Cricetulus griseus: one gene and its partners. The protein of the gene in region 1 binds, or shares a complex with, the protein of each later gene. Links are inferred from orthologs where the notes say so. Each region holds a gene or a part of one and is shown in the gene's direction. Other genes may lie near its edges. The genes, in order: Rrn3, Polr2k, Taf1a and Polr1b.

Region 1 (3,949 bases):
GTGGGTATTCCATTCCTTGGTTGCTATTGTCCTCTCTGGATCTTAAGGTAGTGATGGCTGTGGGTTGCCTTGTAGTAAGTGCTTCTGGAGGTGGGTGGGTGGGTGGCAGAAAGGAAGGAATAGAGATAGGCTAGGAGAAAAGGCTGAGGGACCTTCAGGAAAGATCTAAGGTGATCCTGTTCACACCTAGAGGTGTGGGGTCCACAGGGAGTTGGAGATATGGTGGGATCAGGGGATCGAAGAAGTAGGGTACATTAAGTTACAAAATTGAAGAGAGACAGAGATGAAAGGGCTAGGTATACCCTGTGTATGGATTCAGAGTTGGAGGTAGAGGGGCTCCTGCAAGCAGGTTGTCACTGAGAGATCTTAATGGAGAGATCTTAATGTGACTCACCTATCCTTTCAGGTATGGCCTCTGGGGGCCTTTGGGATAGAAAGTATTTCTAGGTGTGGGGGCTGACACAAAGGGATGAGGATGGGTTAGAAGGGGGTGGTGTGCTGAGAAGGTCCATAGGGAGAAGGAAAGGTGCATGCATGCCAAGGCATGGCTGGAGTCCCGGAGGAATAGAGATGGAGGGAGGAGAGGCTGTAGCCGGCTGCTACAGGGCTGGGGATGAGCCTGGAGAGACTGTAGTGGGTGACAAAGAGAATGGAAATAGCCTACCTGAGTCCTAGCCCCATGTGGTTCACTGGGTTCCCAGTTATCAGTGTTTCTAGGTAACAGTGTCTAACACAAAGGGATGAGGGGTGATAGGAGAGCTGGGTCTACTAGGGTTTTGCTTTTAAATAAGAACTGTGACCTCTCTATTCCTTATTTAGCAGTATAATTGCATTGTTAGGTAATGCCTTCAGGGTGCTGAAAGCCAGAATAATTTCAGCATTAGACATATCAAGCCAGCAGCCTCTTGTTACAGGGATTTGCAGAAGCATTTTTGGAACATCTTTGGAAAAAGTTGCAGGATCCAAATAACCCCGCCATCATCAGGCAAGCTGCTGCGAATTACATTGGGAGCTTTTTGGCAAGAGCTAAATTTATTCCTCTTATGTAAGTAACCTAATTTTCCAAATGCTTTTTTTAATGTTTTGCTGTAGGGAGATTATAATATTGTCTCAAGTCAAAGAAATAGGTCTTATTTTTTTTATCTGTCTTTGTAAAGCCAGGGGGGGAATCTGTTGACTATAATGCAAGGTGCTTTTATTTCTAAGAAGTGGTTTGAGAAGGACAGGTCTCTATTTGGATAATAGGTACATGAGGCATCTGTTTGTGTTTTGAACCTGAAAGCCTGTCTCTGTTCATGGGTAGCACCGTGTTGTATATTGCTTGATATTTTTTTGTAGGTTTGTTGTTTTTCATTTGCCTTCCAAATTAATTGTGTCTGTTTGGTCTAAACAAAACCCTTTTTAAAGAAATTAGGATGGGATGGAGCTCAGTGGTAAAGCACATTCGACACTTGCAAAGCCCTGGGTCCCACCCCCAGCATTAAGACTCAGGAGACTGGTTTCTTCAGGGACTCCACAAGAGACTGGCACAGATGCTGCTAAGCCATCCCCCAATCAGCTTAGTCTTGTGGTTCCAGTTTCTGAGTCCAGATGGGAAGAAGCATGATCCTTAGCCACAGCACTGTCTGGCTGGGAGCTAAGCCAGGAAGTCTTGGCTGAGTTGGAGCTCAGCTCCATCCCTGAAAGTATTTTTGTCTTTTGTTTTGTTCCATTTTGTTTTTTGAGTCTTGCTCTGGAACCCAGGCTGGCCTCAGCTCCTACCTCCTTCAGTCTTCTAAGGTGGGGAATTACAGGCCTGTGCTCCTGGGCCTCGCTCCTTGGGACATCCCTAAGGCCTCTTGCTCTGCCCAAGTAAGCTCTGCCTCACTGAATTGGAAGGCATTCTTTAGTCCCAGTACTGGGAAAGCAGAGGTAGAGGCTCTCTGTGAGTTCAGGGTCAGTCTGGTCTGCAGAATGAGTTCCAGGACAGTCAATGCTACACAGAGAAACACTGTCTAAAGAAAAAAAAACAAAAACCAAAAAAAAAAAACTGAAAACAATAAACAATTGGAAGGCTTCCCACCTTCTGTCCTTTTCCTTCTGTTTCTCTGCCGATGGGTAAGGTTTTTGGTGCTGGGATGGAACTCAGGACCTCATGTTTGTGAAGCAATTGCTTACCACTGTGCCTGTGGGTCGTAGTTGAGCCTTATATAATGGATAGTGAAAGACAGGTGTGTGTTTCTGTCTCTAGCTTTCTGATGAATCCAGTAACACTGACTTTTCTTCTCTTTGCAGCACCGTAAAGTCATGCCTGGATCTTTTGGTTAACTGGTTGCACATGTATCTTAATAACCAGGATTCAGGAACAAAGGCTTTTTGTGATGTTGCACTCCATGGACCATTTTATTCAGCCTGCCAAGCTGTGTTCTACACTTTCGTTTTTAGACACAAGCAGATTTTGAGTGGAAACTTGAAGGAAGGTCAGTAATGTGGGTTCAGGCTGGGTTTTCTTACTGTCCTTGGACTGTCAGTGCTGTACTGCTTGCTTTGGGTTGATGTTTACTTTTAAATGTGTGAGGGGCTTGATGAGGGTTTGCTGCCACAAGTGCAGCTGTGGCACCATGGCCTGCAAAGGAGCCCATCGTAGACAGGGGCAAGACTCTGCAAAGGAGGCCATTGTAGACAGGGGCAAGACTCTGCAAAGGAGGCCATTGTAGACAGGGGCAAGACTCTGCAAAGGAGGGGGCAATCATAGACAGGGGAAAGACTATACAAAGGAGGCAATCGTAGACAGGGGTAAGACTGGGTTCACTTCAAAAACGAGCAACTTCTATTTTCCCCCACTGCTATTCATGTATTGTTTAGCCAGCTACTAGAGAAACCACTGCAAAGGAGTCAGAGCAAAGGCTATCTCTGATCCCCTCATTAGAGTTATTCCTTCTTCGCTTCTCTGCCCTTGTGGCCTTGTTTTGCCCCAGAAGGACATTCCTCATAGTTCAGTGGTTCTCAACCTTCCAACCTTTAACACGGTTCTTCATGCTGTGGTGATTCCCAACCATAAAATTATTTTTGTTTCTACTTTATAACTGTAATTTTGCTGCTGTTATGAATTGTAATGTAAATATCTGTGTTTTCGATGGTTTTTTTAGAGGGAAGGGTCCTTCAACCCCCAATGGGGTCACAATCACAGGTTGAGAACAAGTGTCTTAGGCTTTATCTCATGCCTGCAGTTTTCTGAAGTCAAGGGGCCATATTTGGGTCAGGGGTTGTGCCTGGAACCCAATAAGTGTACATACATACATACATACATACATACATACATACATACACACACACACACACACACACGCACACACACATACATTTGGGTCAGGGGTTGTGCCTGGAACCCAATAAGTGTACATACACACACACGCACGCACGCACGCACGCACGCACGCACGCACGCACGCACGCACGCACGCACGCACGCACGCACGCACGCACACACACACGCGCGCGCGCGCGCGCTGCATGCTGTGGAGGTCAGAGGACAACTTGCAGGAGGGAGTCAGTGCTCTTCTAATATGTGTATCCTGGGGATCAAACTTGGTTGCCAGATTTGGTGGCCAGCACCTTTATTTGATAAGCCATCTCACTAGCCTTAGGCTAGGAGTCTTTATTAGAGAGGAAATACCTTTTGCAGTCCAGCACATCTATTTCTTTTTAGAACTTATTTTATGTTTATGGGTATTTTACCTGCATGCATGTCTGTGTACCATGTACATGTAGTGACTTCAAAGGCCAGAACTGGATGTCAGATTTTTGTGACTAGTTTTCAACAGTTGTTAGCTACTATGTAGATACTGGGAACTAAACCCTGGTCCTTCCTCTGTAAGAGCAACAGAGATAGGCCACTCAGCCTCCACCATAACTATTTGTAAATTTTAAAATTGTTTTGAGTCATGTTCACACTTGGTAGCCCAAGCTA
Region 2 (4,587 bases), on another chromosome or scaffold:
TGGTGGCGCCCGCCTTTAATCCCAGCACTCAAGAGGTAGAGGCAGGCGGATCTCTGAGTTCGAGACCAGCCTGGTCTACAGAGAGTTCCGGGACGGCTAGGATACACAGAGAAACCCTGTCTCAAAACAAAACAAGCAAACAAACAAAAAACAACAACAACAAAACACAGGGAAGGAAGGAAGGGATGGAGGCAGGGAGGGAGGGAGGGAGGGAGGGAGGGGGAGGGAGGAGGGAGGAAATACAAGAGCTAGAGAGGTAGCTCAGCATGTAAGACCACTTGCTGTTTTTGCAAAGGACCAAGTTCAGTTCCCAGCACCCACGTAGGGCGGCTTCTAATAGTCTGTAGCTCCAGTCCAGGGGCTCCGAGGACCTTTTCAGGTCTCTGCTGGCACTAACACAGACAACTCAAAGTAACAACGAAATCTTAGCCGGGTGGTGGTGGCGCACACCTTTAATCCCAGCACTCAGGAGGCAGAGGCAGGCGGATCTCTGTGAGTTCGAGGCCAGCCTGGTCTCCAGAGTGAGTGCCAGGACAGACTCCAAAGCTACAGAGAAATCCTGTCTCGAAAAAACCAAAAACACAAAACAAAGAAACAACGAAATCTTAAAATCTCAGACGTCTAATGTAAGCCCCCTGGAAGCTCAGGCCTCCAGAATCCTTTCCCAGGACTGCGGCCATCCCAATCATCATGAGGAGTCGGAAACTTGATGCAAACAGCAAGAGGCTTTAATGAAAGGTAGACGTTTGTACGAAGGGGCTCTCTCAGCATGCAGGCTAGAGAGCAGCCCCGTCCCCCAGGCACAGGCCTTTTTAAAGGCAAAAACCACAAGCTTAGGGAGGGGTGTGACCAGAGTCACAGGTGCCTAAGAGACCCTTTGTCTTGAGGAGAGGGCTGGGAATCAGATGGCCTCCTGACCCACCAGCTGTAAAACCTGCAGACCTCAGGATATGCTTAGCTTGCTTGAGCAAATGGTACCTATCTCTTTGTTTCACAGGGACACTTAATTGTTAATGATTGACACATTGGCCGGTGGGGCAATCTGTTTTTTTCATGAGCCCCTCGGGGAGGGTGGCCATCTGGGAATTCTTGGTACCCAGTTATATTATGGCCTTGTAAGGGAGTAATTGCTTGCGGCTGGTAAATTCCAGGCCCTAAGTCCTAATAGTGGCCTTAGTTTCCGAGTTAGGCCGCCCTACATTCAGTTTGGAGAGTTTCCTTATCTGGGCTATATTTCTTTGCTAATTTTTAAGTCTTTCACTAGCAAGTGAGAAGCCACACCACCCTTTCTCTACAGCCGGGGCTTAGCCCGGCAGACACACCTGACCGCCCTAGGATTGGGGAGACTTTGTAGCGTGGCTGAGGGCGAGCGTTTAACAGGCTGCTGGGCTGTGTGCGGAGGAAGCAGCTCAAGCGACCGTTTTCCTGAAGATTCACCCCTGCGAGCCACCGAGCTAAGCCAACGGTCCTGAAAAAAAGTATTTTTAATTGACATCTCCGGGGCCTGGGGGAGAGCCGCGCGCTGAAGGGCAGCCAAACAAAAGAGAACCCTGTGCAAACGGCGACGAGCAAATGGCGACGAGCAAATGGCGACGAGCCCGAGTCTCGAACCCGCGACCGCCGCCGGAGCGAGAGCTGCTTTCGGCTTCCGCCGTCGCCTGTGCCCAGCCCGGGCTCTCGGCGGCGGAGGGGACGGGGCGGGGGCGGGGCTCCTGCGCGTCATTAGGCAGCGCCGGAAGCGCGCGGTCCGCGCCGGTAGTGAGTCCGTCACTGAGGACGCGGGGGAACGTTTGTGTGCGTACCGAGACTCTGCTTGGAGCCGCGGAGGTGAGAGATCGGTCTGAGGGCAAAAAAACTGGCTTTAGAAGGTTTTAGAAAGTTCCCGGGTGCCCGGGAGAGCTGGCTCCACGCCGCCTGGGCGCTCGGGAAACGGAGGCAGGGGACTGCCGCCTTCAGCAGACGGACGCCCGGGCTTTGGGGTTGGCTTGGGCGATGAAGTGAGTTCCGGGCCAGCCTGGGCTACCAAGTGGGGAGCCTCTCAAAGAGCCAAATAAACGTAAATAAATGGTCGGTGACTGGGCTGGAGGGGCGGCTCAGAGGTTAAGAGCGCCGATTGCTCCTCCAGAGGTCCCGGGTTCAATTCCCAGCACCCACATGGCAGCTCACAGCTGTCTGCAACTCCAGTTCCAGGGGACCTGACACCCTCACACCAACGCACATAAAATAAAATAAATTTAAAAAATGATTTATGACAAGATCCCCGGCGGAGTTAGCGGATTTTTGTGGGTTTTTTTTTTTTTTAGTTTATTTGTTGTTTGGTTTTTCGAGACAGGGTTTCTAAGTTTATTTTTATTTTTTGTGCATTGGGTATTTTGCATGGATGTCAGCTGGGTGCCCTGGAACTGGGGTTGCACACAGTTGTGAGCTGCTATGTGTGTGCTGGGAATTGAACTCAGGAGGAGCAACCGGTGCTCTTAACCTCTGAGCCATCTCTCCAGCCCCCCCCCCCTTTGCTTCTTAGTGTCGGGAGACGCTGGGCACACAGAGAGCTGTGCTTAGCCTCGGTTTCCCCGAGTGTAAAGAGTGATGCCCTCTGGCACCTTCAAGAGTGTCGTAGACCTTCGAGATGGATTCTGTGTTGTTGAGAATGTGTTTCCTCCTTCAGACCCAGCCCACAGTTGGTGGGGAAGGGGGGGTTTCAAATAAGGAATTATGATTTTTTTCCCCCTCATTCTGTAATACTGGGGTTTGATCCTCGAGCCGCTGTGTTCTGGGCAAACATTCTACACCTGAGATTTTCTCTTCACCCCGGAATCAGGACCTTGCGTAGCTGCTGGGGAAAAGGGAGCCTGGTTGGTTTTGTGTGATGATCTTGTTATTCAAGCTTTGGCTCTGATTTCAGGCACTAGCAATGGACGCGCAGAAAGACGTCCAACCCCCAAAGCAGCAGCCGATGATATATATTTGCGGAGGTAAGATTAACATTTAAGTAGGAACGTTTTTTGTTGTTGTTTTGGTTTTTTGGTTTGTTTGGCTTTTTTTTTTTTTTGCTTTTGTTTTGTTTTTTTGAAACAGGGTTTTTCTGTGGCTTTGGAGCCTATCCTGGAACTCACTCTGTACACCAGGCTGGTCTCCAACTCACAGAGATCCCCCTGCCTCTGCCTCCCTAGTGCTGGGATTAAAGGTATGTGCCACCAATGCCCTGCTTAAGTAGGAACATTTTACCTCAACTTTCCATATATGAGTACTGATCTTCAAAGTTATAAAGCGGAGCACTCAGGAGGCAGAGGCAGGGGGATCTCTGCGAGTTCAAGTGAAACACTTTAGCATCATTAATGTAAAAGTCCCTCGTTAAGATTTGTCTTTTCATCAGGAAAAGGTACGCTGCCGACAGCTCTTTTCTTTCCTCCTTGGTGTATTTAGTTTCGGGGCTTTGACTTGCTCTGGCGAAGTCTGTGGTTATATTTGGTTCCCTGTAGTGTTTCTCTTTCAGGCATTGACTGAACGTGTTTTATTCCCTAGAGTGTCACACGGAAAATGAAATAAAGTCCAGGGATCCAATCAGATGCAGAGAATGTGGATACAGAATAATGTACAAGAAAAGGACAAAAAGATGTATCCTTCTGACTGGGCTTTCTAAACGTAAAGAGGAATAACTAATACTCGGTTGATAAAGACCAAGTTCTGACAAAAGTAGCAACTTTTGGGTTGTTTATTTTTCTAAGCAGATTGAATGTGACTTTATTAATGAAGAGTTTATTAACTGAGAATGTGGGGGGCTCTGAAGGACGTAAATGTATATTATTTTAATATGAATTATTTTTCACCAAACTTGGAGAAAAGAGGCAGGCAGAGCTTTGTGAGTTCAAGGCCAGCTAGAACTACTAAGTGAGACTCAGTGTCAAAAAAAACAAATAGGGGCTAGAGAGACTCGTCAGCAGGCAGGTAAGGGCATCGGCTGTTCTTCCAGAGGACCTGTGTTCTGTTTCTAGCACCAACATAATTACTCATGATCCTCTGTAACTCCAGTTTCGGGGGTCTGATCCCTTTTTCCGACCTCCACCTGTACAAAGGACCCAAGTGTGTGTGTGTGTGTGTGTGTGTGTTTAAAAAACCCTGTAAGTGATTTTAGCTTTTATTTTACTTTTTTTTTTTTAGTTCAAATTAGAAACAAGCCTACTTCGATTGTCAATCCCTGCTCCCTCCTCTCTCTAGCCCTTCACCAACTCACCACATCATCCCCCCCTCTGCTCCCCAGGGAGGGTAAGGCCCTCCATGAGGTATCCCCAAAGTCTGTCATATCGTTTGGGATAGGGCCTAGACCCTCCCCCATGTGTCCAGGCTGAGAGAGCATCCCTCCACGTGGGATGGGCTCCCAAAGTCCTTTTGTACACCAGCTCTTTTTTTTTTAAGTAAACATGATTAGTGTTTTCGTGCCATTCATTATGGGCTCTAAGTAATTAAAAAATTAATCAATTTGGGTTTATGTAAATGTTTTTAGTTTTTTCAGGAATTCTTTGTTAGAAGTAGTCACTCTTGATTGTTAGCTTATGGGTAATCTAAAGTATGGGAGGAGAAATTAATAAC
Region 3 (4,380 bases), on another chromosome or scaffold:
GAGCACATCTTTAGTCCCAGGATTCTGGAGGCAGAGGAAGGTGGGTCTCTGTGAATCCAAGACTAGCCTGGTCTACAAGATCTAGTTCCAGGACAGGCTCCAAAGCTACACAGAGAAACCCTGTCTTGACCTCCCCCCCACCAAAAAAATACCCAAACAAACTGAAGGGACCAGCTCCCCATTTCGGCAGACATGACAGTAACACGTGCTTGCCATGACCTTGTCCTAGTCACTAGAAAGTCAGATGCCTGCCTGTGGCAAGGAACCAATCAGAAGTTAGCTGGTGGCGCTATGCTTTACGGCTCTGGGTGTGCTTTATGGACAAGTGCACAGCAATGGCTTGAAGAGCATGGCAACCACCCTGGGAGGGCCTATGGGCCATAACAACCAGTTGGCCAATCAACACAGGGCAAGCCCTCCAAGCCTGGAGGCACACCAATCCTGAGCCTGTGTGTACCCCTAGACACTCCCCTTATTGCTGCCCTATAAGATCTCTATGCAGACTCTTCGAGCTGTCTTTGCTATCCGAGCTCGTTAAACAATAAAGCCTTGTGCAGTTTGCAGCAAGCTTTCGAATCTGCCTGGTGATTAGGGTGACCACAGTCCTGGGCTGAGACCCTGGAGGCCTGAGGTTTTCCGGGGTTCTAACAAAACCAAACCAAAACAGGCTTAAGGGCAAGGAGTAATGATAGACCGGCTAATTTCCATGGAACTCAGACTCTTATTTTCAAGCAGTAAATTCGGAGTTTAGGAGGAATCCATTGCATCATTTATGCAGCCTTAACTATGAACTATTGTTTTTTTCCCAATGACTTTAAGGTTGCCTCCCTTTAGCTTTTACTCATTAATGCTTGTTCACATCTGTGTAATAATCTGCCCATTAACCGATCAGTCCTTCACAGAGTATTTTTCCAAACATCTCAGGCCAGTCTTCAGGGTCATCTTCCCTCGCAGCGTCCCCCTTCTCATACGACACTGCAATTCCACTATCCACCTCCATAATCAATACACGGCTGCCAATGTCCCTCTTGAGAGCGGACTCCAGGCCGATCGCCAGAACACTCCACGTTGATAAGCGAAACACGGACTCTTGCTCCAACTGTGAAGGCAGCAAGATGCTAAAAACTGTAATGAAAATAACTTTCAGAGCAGCAATCAGAATCGGCAATGCACCCCCTGGCCACACTCCGGTCTTGCGATGGGAACCTTCCAGTTTCTGGCTGGCACAGATCAAGGTGTAATCAGGGCCAAACCAAGGCGAAGGCGGAAGCTAACACCCACTTCCGGGTCAAGCCTCTTCTGGCGAGGCTCTTGGGCTCTCCCCCCAGGCCACGCCCGACGGAGGGCGGGGCTACGCAGCGCGCTACCCGAACGCCGGCCGGCTGGTTATGCGCAGGCTCACAGGAAGCGCTCGCTGAGGACTTCCGGAGAGGGTTTTCCCTGACAGCCCGCGGCGTGCGATCGGGCGAGCGTGGCGCCGGGGAGAGCTGTGTGAGCGCCCCGCGGTTCTGGGAGCGTCAGTTGCGGGCCGGGAGGTTTAGGTTACCGTGGCGGCGCCGCCGCCGCCAGTCTGAGGACTCGGGGCTCGCGTCAGGCGTCCGCAGCGTCCGTGGGGCCGACCTCACTGAATTGAGGCGTCGCTTCAGGCTTTGGCGCCCCACGGTGGAGTCGGCTTTCCTACAAGGCTTAGTGCGCGCTCGCGGGGCCGGCCGCCCCCAGGTGAGGTGGAGCAGCACCCCGGGGCTGGCCCTGCGCCCTCCCCGCGGCGCGGTGACTAACCACGCACCCTCAGCCTCCCGCGCCGCAGGGAGACGCTGCTGCCAGTCAGCAGGCTCGAGACCCGGGCCCGTCTCCAGCGTCGCGGAAAACACACACACACACACACACACACACACCAGCAGCGCCAGAGCACTCACCCTGGACCAGTCTGAAGGTGTCCGGAGCCAGGGTGGCGCCGTAGGATTGCAGAAAGGAGGGGCGTTTGGTGGAATTCTAAATCGCAGTACCCGAAGCTTCAATACCGGATAGGTACTCAGAACTGGGGTCTGCACCCTTTCGACAGTTCAATCCAAGGTCAGTGGCATATGGCTGCTTTTGTAGAGTCATTTATTTGCCATGGCCCCCTGCCCACCTCCTAGCCATTTTTTTGGTCACACCAGCTAGTCTGTGTGCTCTGCATTTGCTAGACTCCTGTCTTCACTCCTTTTGGTCATGTTACGTATTTTGTATAAGTCCTTCAGCCTTCCTTCCTTCCTTCCTTCCTTCCTTCCTTCCTTCCTTCCTTCCTTCCTTCCTCTGCCACCACCACCCAGCAAGTCCTACAGTTTTCATTACTAAGTGGGAGAGAATAGGGTTGCTGCTGCGATTAAATTAGATATTTTATAGTCTAAGTATGTAGTTAAGTCCCAGTAAATACTAGCTCCTGCTGTTACTGTACTTGCTATATTGTGTTATGTATTCTTCAGTTTCTTTATGTAGCTTTAGCTTTTTTACTTTGTAATTAAGGATGTCTCATTTTTGTATGTTCTTGGTTCAGAGCTTTGCAGTATTATGTTTTATGGATTTTAGAAACTTTTTATTTTACATGTGTGGGTGTGTGCCTGCATGTGTGTGCCTATGTTCTGTTGTGAAGGTGGTTGTATGCCCTGGGACTAGGGTTCCAGAAGATCATGAACATGGGTGCTGGGAACCAGCACAGGTCCTCTAGAAAAGCAGCAAGTGCTCTTCACTGCTGAGCCGTCTCTAGTCCCCAGACTTCTATTTTTAAAAAATGTGACTTGAGTTTAGGCTGTTGTTGACTTAAACAGATTCAGTGTTTCCTTGAAAAGAACTGTCAGATACAATGGGCCCTGCTGCTCAGGTGACTTTGCTACAAGAAAAGATTGCTTTTCAGCTCAAGTCAGGTGCCTGTGGGTTAACGTGTACTGACGCTAACTGATACTCTCAGTTTGGAATAGATATGAGCGATTTCGATGAAGAATTGACAAAGCTTGCTTTGGCAGAGGATGGCAAGAGAGAAACCTCTGTGTTCTCTAATCCAGGAATGCATTTCCCGTGGCTTCAGGAGCGAATAGAGACTGTAGGTAAGTGGGACAGCACTTTCACTTTAATGCAACTAAGTGTCGAGACTGAACACAGCTACAAAGTGAATGACCAAGCCAGGTCATTTTTCCTCCCCCTTAATTTCTGTTGTTGTTATTGTTGTTAGACAGGGTCTTGCTGTTTATCCCTGGCTTGCCTGGAACTCACTTCATGTAGCTCAGGCTGGTTTAGAACTCCTGGTTGTTCTTGCCTTAGTCTCCAGGTGCTAGGGTTACAGGTGTGAATCAGGGTGCCTAATATTGTAATAAGATTAGATGGGGGTTTCCCTTTTCTTTCTTACAGCTGGAGACAAAAAGGAAATTAGAAGAAGTAGCTTTTTTTTTTAAATTTTATTTTATTCTTTTGGTTTTTTAACACAGGGTTTCTCTGTGGCTTTGGAGGCTGTCCTGGAACTAGCTCTTGTAGACCAGGCTGGTCTCGAACTCACAGAGATCTGCCTGCCTCTGCCTCCTGAGTGCTGGGATTAAAGGCGTGCACCACCATGGCCTGGCCCTTTTTAAAAAATAATACACAGTCTATATTATGAACTACACATGTATAAATTTATATATATGAATATAGTTCTCTTTACTGAGCACTTGTATTTGGCATTGGCAGAATATTGGGGACGTACAGATGAAGAAAATGTGGTCTCATTGAGGAGCACATACATAGGAAATGTTAAGGAAATTTCTGTTGAGTTTAATGGAAATGGTTCCTTATAGCATTGATGTAATAGGTTTAAAAGGCATCTTTCTTCATTTTTAATCTAATGTAGATGCAGACAATGCTTTTAGTGGGTTAACGTCTATAGGACTATATGAAGAAGCCGTGGTGGAATGCTGCATGGGTCAGACCTTTAAATACACTTAAACCTGCACTTTTCTTATTACTCTCCATGCATTTCTTGGCTCCAAGAATTTAGCTCCCATTTAAAAAGAAAAATTCATTTAGTTTTATATTCCCAGTAATTTAGTCCTCAGTAAATGTGAGGACACTGAATTGCAAAGAAATTAAACTCGCCCCCCCTCCCCCAGGTTTCTCTGTGGCGAAATTAAACTCTTAAGTAATGATATAAGGAAGCAAATCAGGTCTGTCTGATCTCAAGTCCTGTACTTCTAAACATAAAGAGGTAGATGGAACTTGGCCTGAGAGCAGTCTTCTCTTAGGTGGATAAAGGCTATTTGAACAGATACTGTGCCAGTTTTGTGGGCTGGTTGCCTGGAATTGTGATCTAAGCAGCTTAGTAGCTCTTACTAAATGCAGTGATTGCTTCAGAGAGCCAGCTGAGGCATGAGA
Region 4 (3,949 bases), on another chromosome or scaffold:
TTCCCTTCACTTATGAATATTTTTGGGGGGGTTTTTCGAGACAGCGTTTCTCTGTGTAGCTCTGGAGCCTGTCCTGGCAGTCGCTCTGGAGACCAGGCTGGCCTCGAACTCACAGAGAGATCCGCCTGCCTCTGCCTCCCAAGTGCTGGGATTAAAGGCATGCGCCAATGAATTTTTTAACTGGGTTTTAAGATTTATTTTTGTGCATGCATGCAGTGCCTGTGAAGGCCAGAGGAGGGCGCTGGATCCCTGGAAGTCAAGTTCTCCACAAATATAAGTCACCTGACATGGGTGTTGGGAACTGAACCCTGGCTTCTATGAGAGCAGTAAGTGCTCTTAATCACCAAGCCATTTCTCCAGCCCTGTTTCTTTTTTTGTGTTTTATGATTTAAAAAAAAAATAAAATAAAAAATTGTGTATGTGTTCCTGTTTGTGTTTGGGCATGCACATGTGAGCACAGTGCCTGCCATTATGTACTCTTAGTATGTAGTCATCGAAGCAACCCCATTCTGTTTTGTTTTTTAATTTTCAAATGTAAGACACTTTTCATGTGATTGTTTGAAAAGAAATTCATTAATCCATATTTTAGACATCGGAGAATCAACTTGCCTTTTTTGCCATTTCCCTTGTGGGCTGGGTGAGATTGGGATGGACAGCTGTGGCTTGGGGTTCTGGGTTTATTACCAGGATGATGTAATTTCTTAGATGCTTTCCCTTTCCCATTCTACCTGACTCTGGTGGCAGGGAGGGTGGGGTAAAACATACATTTGTTCTTCATTAAACTCTGTTCTGTTGAAACAGGTGTTGAGAGAAAAGAGAATTCCTCCCTGGATGGAGGTGGCCCTGGTTCCCATGACAGGAAAACCAAGCCTATACCCGGGGTTGTTCCTCTTCACAACTCCCTGCCGGCTGGTGAGGCCTGTGCAGAACTTGGAGCTGGGCAAAGAAGAGCTCATTGGAACTATGGAACAGGTGGGTACCCGCTGGGGTGTGTGCTTATGTAGAACAGTTTTCAGGGACTTGGCTTTCACTTTTAAAAGCATTTGACAGAACATCCAGCTCACTTTTCTGACCCCCATTGCCCAGGACTAAGTAGTTTTAGTGTCTTGCCATACTGTTGGGAACCTGAGGGAGGCTTGGTGCTCACATAACTGCCTGTCCTTCCTGCCCGGTGTTCGTGGTTCCTTGGCACCTGGCTCTGCCCCAGCTGGTGAAGACTGAGGCATCACAGTTGTCGTCCACATCTTTGCCATTGCCAAACTGGAGTTTGTGCCTACTTTAAAAATTTTATTAAAAAGAAAAAAAAAATGAAACTGGAGGTGGTGATGCATTTTAATCCCAGCACTTGGGAGGCAGAGGTAGGTGGATCTTTGAGTTTGAGGCCAGCCTGATCTACAGAGTGAGTTATGGGATAGCCAGAGAAACCCTGTCCAAAATAAATATTTGTCTTCCTCTTTGGCTCTTCACAATTGGACAGGGTAGATAGAGGATGAGATATCCAAGGGGAAAGTGTTGGAGCTCTTAGCAGGCACACACCCTGGGTCTCAACAGCAGCTCCCCATATCAGTAGCCGGCATTCATGATTGGGGAGGGACTCTTTGTGGCCTTGAGCACTAACCCCTGGGAAGCAGCGAGACAGCCACAGTTATTTTATGCCTCTGTCTTCCTTACTCTTGTTTTCCTCCAGCTCTTCATGAACGTTGCCATTTTTGAGGATGAGGTTTTTTCTGGAATTTCCACACACCAGGAGCTCTTCCCTCACAGCCTGCTGAGTGTGATCGCCAACTTCATCCCCTTCTCTGATCATAACCAGAGTCCTCGGAACATGTACCAGTGCCAGATGGGTAAGGTGGGTGGAGGTGGTGGTGGTGGTTGGTACCTGCACACACAAAAAGCGTGTGTAAGTTAAGCTGAAATCATCTCAAACTTGAGAAGTTTCAAGAACAGCATAAAGAATGCCAGCCGGCCAGTCGCCTGTTCTGTTAACATTCTGCTGGCTCATACTTTCCTTTTTCACTTGAAGATTGTAGGCACAGTGCCCCCTCCACACTTCAGTGCATATTCCCAACCATAAGAGCTTTCTTAGTGAGGGATATTTGTCAAAATCAGGAGGTTCCGCATAAATGTGTGAGTACTGCATGCATGTATGTGCAGGTGTCTGCAGAAGCTAGAGACATTCAGTCCTTCTGGAGCTGAGTTATAGTCAGTTGTTAGCCACGGGACATGGATGCTGGGAACTGGACTTAGTTCCTCTGCAAGAGCAGCACACACTCCATATTTTAGTCCTTACTTGATTTGGAGGAGGTGGAGAATCCAAGGCTGGGTCCAGGATCACTTGTGTTCTGCTAGTGCGCACATTTGTGTCCTTTGGTGCAGAAGAGCCCTTTGGCTTGTTTGTGTCGTTCTTCACATTTACATTTTCCAGGAAAATGACTTGAGTTTGTCTGAGATCTTATGCCTTCACTCTTGAGGGGTTCAAGCCATTACAGTTACTCACATAGTTATCACTTCCAGTGCTCTTGAAATTAAAGCTTTTCGGCATTTGCTCCTAACCCCTACAACCTTCCTTGAGCTGATCTTGAATTCAGTATCCTTCAGCAGGGCTGGAGGGATGGCTAAGCAGTTAAGAGCATTGGCTGCTCTTCCAGAGGTTGTGAGTTCAATTCCAGCAACCACATAGTAGCTCACAACCACCTATAGTGGGATCTGATGTCTTCTTCTGGTGTAAAGGCATATGTGCAAATAGAGCGCACATATATACATTAAATAAATAAATCTTAAAAAAAAAAAAAAGAGTTGCCATGGTCATGGTGTCTCTTCACAGCAATAAAAACTGTAACTAAGACAGTGTGTGTGTGTGTGTGTGTGTGTGTGTGTCTGAGTGTGTCTGTGTCTCTGTGTCTCTGTGTCTGTGTCTGTGTGTATGGTGTTCTATGTACACATGTGTGCACGTGGAGACCTGAGGAAGATAGCTGGTGTCCTGCTCTGTTACTGTTTTCTTTATTCCTTTGAGACATGGTTTACTCATTGAGCCTGGAGCTAGGCTACCAGCCAGCCAGCCAGCCCCAGCAACACTCCCAACAGCACTCGGGTTACAGATGCAAATGGCCACTCTGGTTTCCTGTTTCTAATTTTTGATGGATGATCATGTTCACTGACATCATGCTGTCATCTAATGAATTATTGTCTTAGTCTTTAGACTACAATTTCTGGTTTTTTGTTTGTTTGTTTTTGAGGGTTTTGTTTACTGATCACAATGGACATATTTTGCTGTATATATTAAGCTTGCTATAATCGTCATTATATTGATTATATATAATCACATATTCATTATGTTATAATGGGTGATATAAAGTTACCTTTTGCCTGTTCAAACATCTGGATAGTCCCAAGATTGCTATCCATTGAGTGTAGTTTTCTTGGGTGTGGGTTATGTTTACTGTTTGTGTCTCCAGTAATTACTATGTCAACTACTGTGAGTGATAGGGCTTCAAGCTAGGCCTCTCTGAAAGAGCTGATGTTGGTCTTGACTGCTATTTAACTTGGTTCTTAGTCTCAGTCTACTTGGCTCAGTCTCATGCATCATGAGCAATTCATTGCCCACCAAAGGTTTAGACTTAGTGTATGTGCAGAGTGAAGGCTCTCCTCTGTAATCTACCTTCAGAACAGGAAAGAAAGAAAAGAAATGCCCCCTACTTTCCAGTAGCCCCTGTGCTCTGAACTCTGTTCTTCGATTCTTCAAGACAGTAACCAGAGATCTCTAAAATAACTTAAAAACTGAAAACTATACAATTGTTGACTAAAGTGGTTGCTTTGTTTCAAATATAAATTCCTCTCAGTTTCTGACTACTTTCAGCAAATCTCCAGTCTTTGGGCAATGAGTGGTTGGCGAGTGGGCATGTGGACACAGTTGAGACCCTTTGCTTCCTGAATCTTTTTTTTTTTTTTT

Evidence for each region.
Region 2: Rrn3 (region 1) and Polr2k share a complex: the UniProt entries of both Homo sapiens proteins name them as parts of the pol I pre-initiation complex. The link is inferred for Cricetulus griseus from reciprocal best matches to the Homo sapiens genes RRN3 and POLR2K.
Region 3: Rrn3 (region 1) and Taf1a share a complex: the UniProt entries of both Homo sapiens proteins name them as parts of the pol I pre-initiation complex. The link is inferred for Cricetulus griseus from reciprocal best matches to the Homo sapiens genes RRN3 and TAF1A.
Region 4: Rrn3 (region 1) and Polr1b share a complex: the UniProt entries of both Homo sapiens proteins name them as parts of the pol I pre-initiation complex. The link is inferred for Cricetulus griseus from reciprocal best matches to the Homo sapiens genes RRN3 and POLR1B.

What each region holds. Positions count from the first base shown.
Region 1 is NW_023276807.1:74,982,276-74,986,224, forward strand, and holds part of Rrn3 (RNA polymerase I-specific transcription initiation factor RRN3), read left to right. Parts: intron 1-914; coding exon 915-1,045; intron 1,046-2,274; coding exon 2,275-2,459; intron 2,460-3,949. UniProt on the Homo sapiens protein: Required for efficient transcription initiation by RNA polymerase I (Pol I). Required for the formation of the competent pre-initiation complex (PIC).
Region 2 is NC_048603.1:15,288,299-15,292,885, reverse strand, and holds the start of Polr2k (DNA-directed RNA polymerases I, II, and III subunit RPABC4), read left to right. Parts: upstream 1-1,730; 5' UTR 1,731-1,827; intron 1,828-2,902; 5' UTR 2,903-2,911; coding exon 2,912-2,972; intron 2,973-3,522; coding exon 3,523-3,615; intron 3,616-4,587. UniProt on the Homo sapiens protein: DNA-dependent RNA polymerase catalyzes the transcription of DNA into RNA using the four ribonucleoside triphosphates as substrates.
Region 3 is NC_048598.1:11,100,876-11,105,255, reverse strand, and holds the start of Taf1a (TATA box-binding protein-associated factor RNA polymerase I subunit A), read left to right. Parts: upstream 1-1,414; 5' UTR 1,415-1,719; exon of another isoform or gene 1,720-2,073; intron 2,074-2,947; exon of another isoform or gene 2,948-2,957; 5' UTR 2,958-2,959; coding exon 2,960-3,083; intron 3,084-4,380. UniProt on the Homo sapiens protein: Component of the transcription factor SL1/TIF-IB complex, which is involved in the assembly of the PIC (pre-initiation complex) during RNA polymerase I-dependent transcription.
Region 4 is NC_048599.1:49,450,679-49,454,627, reverse strand, and holds part of Polr1b (DNA-directed RNA polymerase I subunit RPA2), read left to right. Parts: intron 1-507; exon of another isoform or gene 508-801; coding exon 802-972; exon of another isoform or gene 973-1,687; coding exon 1,688-1,844; exon of another isoform or gene 1,845-1,879; intron 1,880-2,290; exon of another isoform or gene 2,291-2,862; intron 2,863-3,949. UniProt on the Homo sapiens protein: Catalytic core component of RNA polymerase I (Pol I), a DNA-dependent RNA polymerase which synthesizes ribosomal RNA precursors using the four ribonucleoside triphosphates as substrates.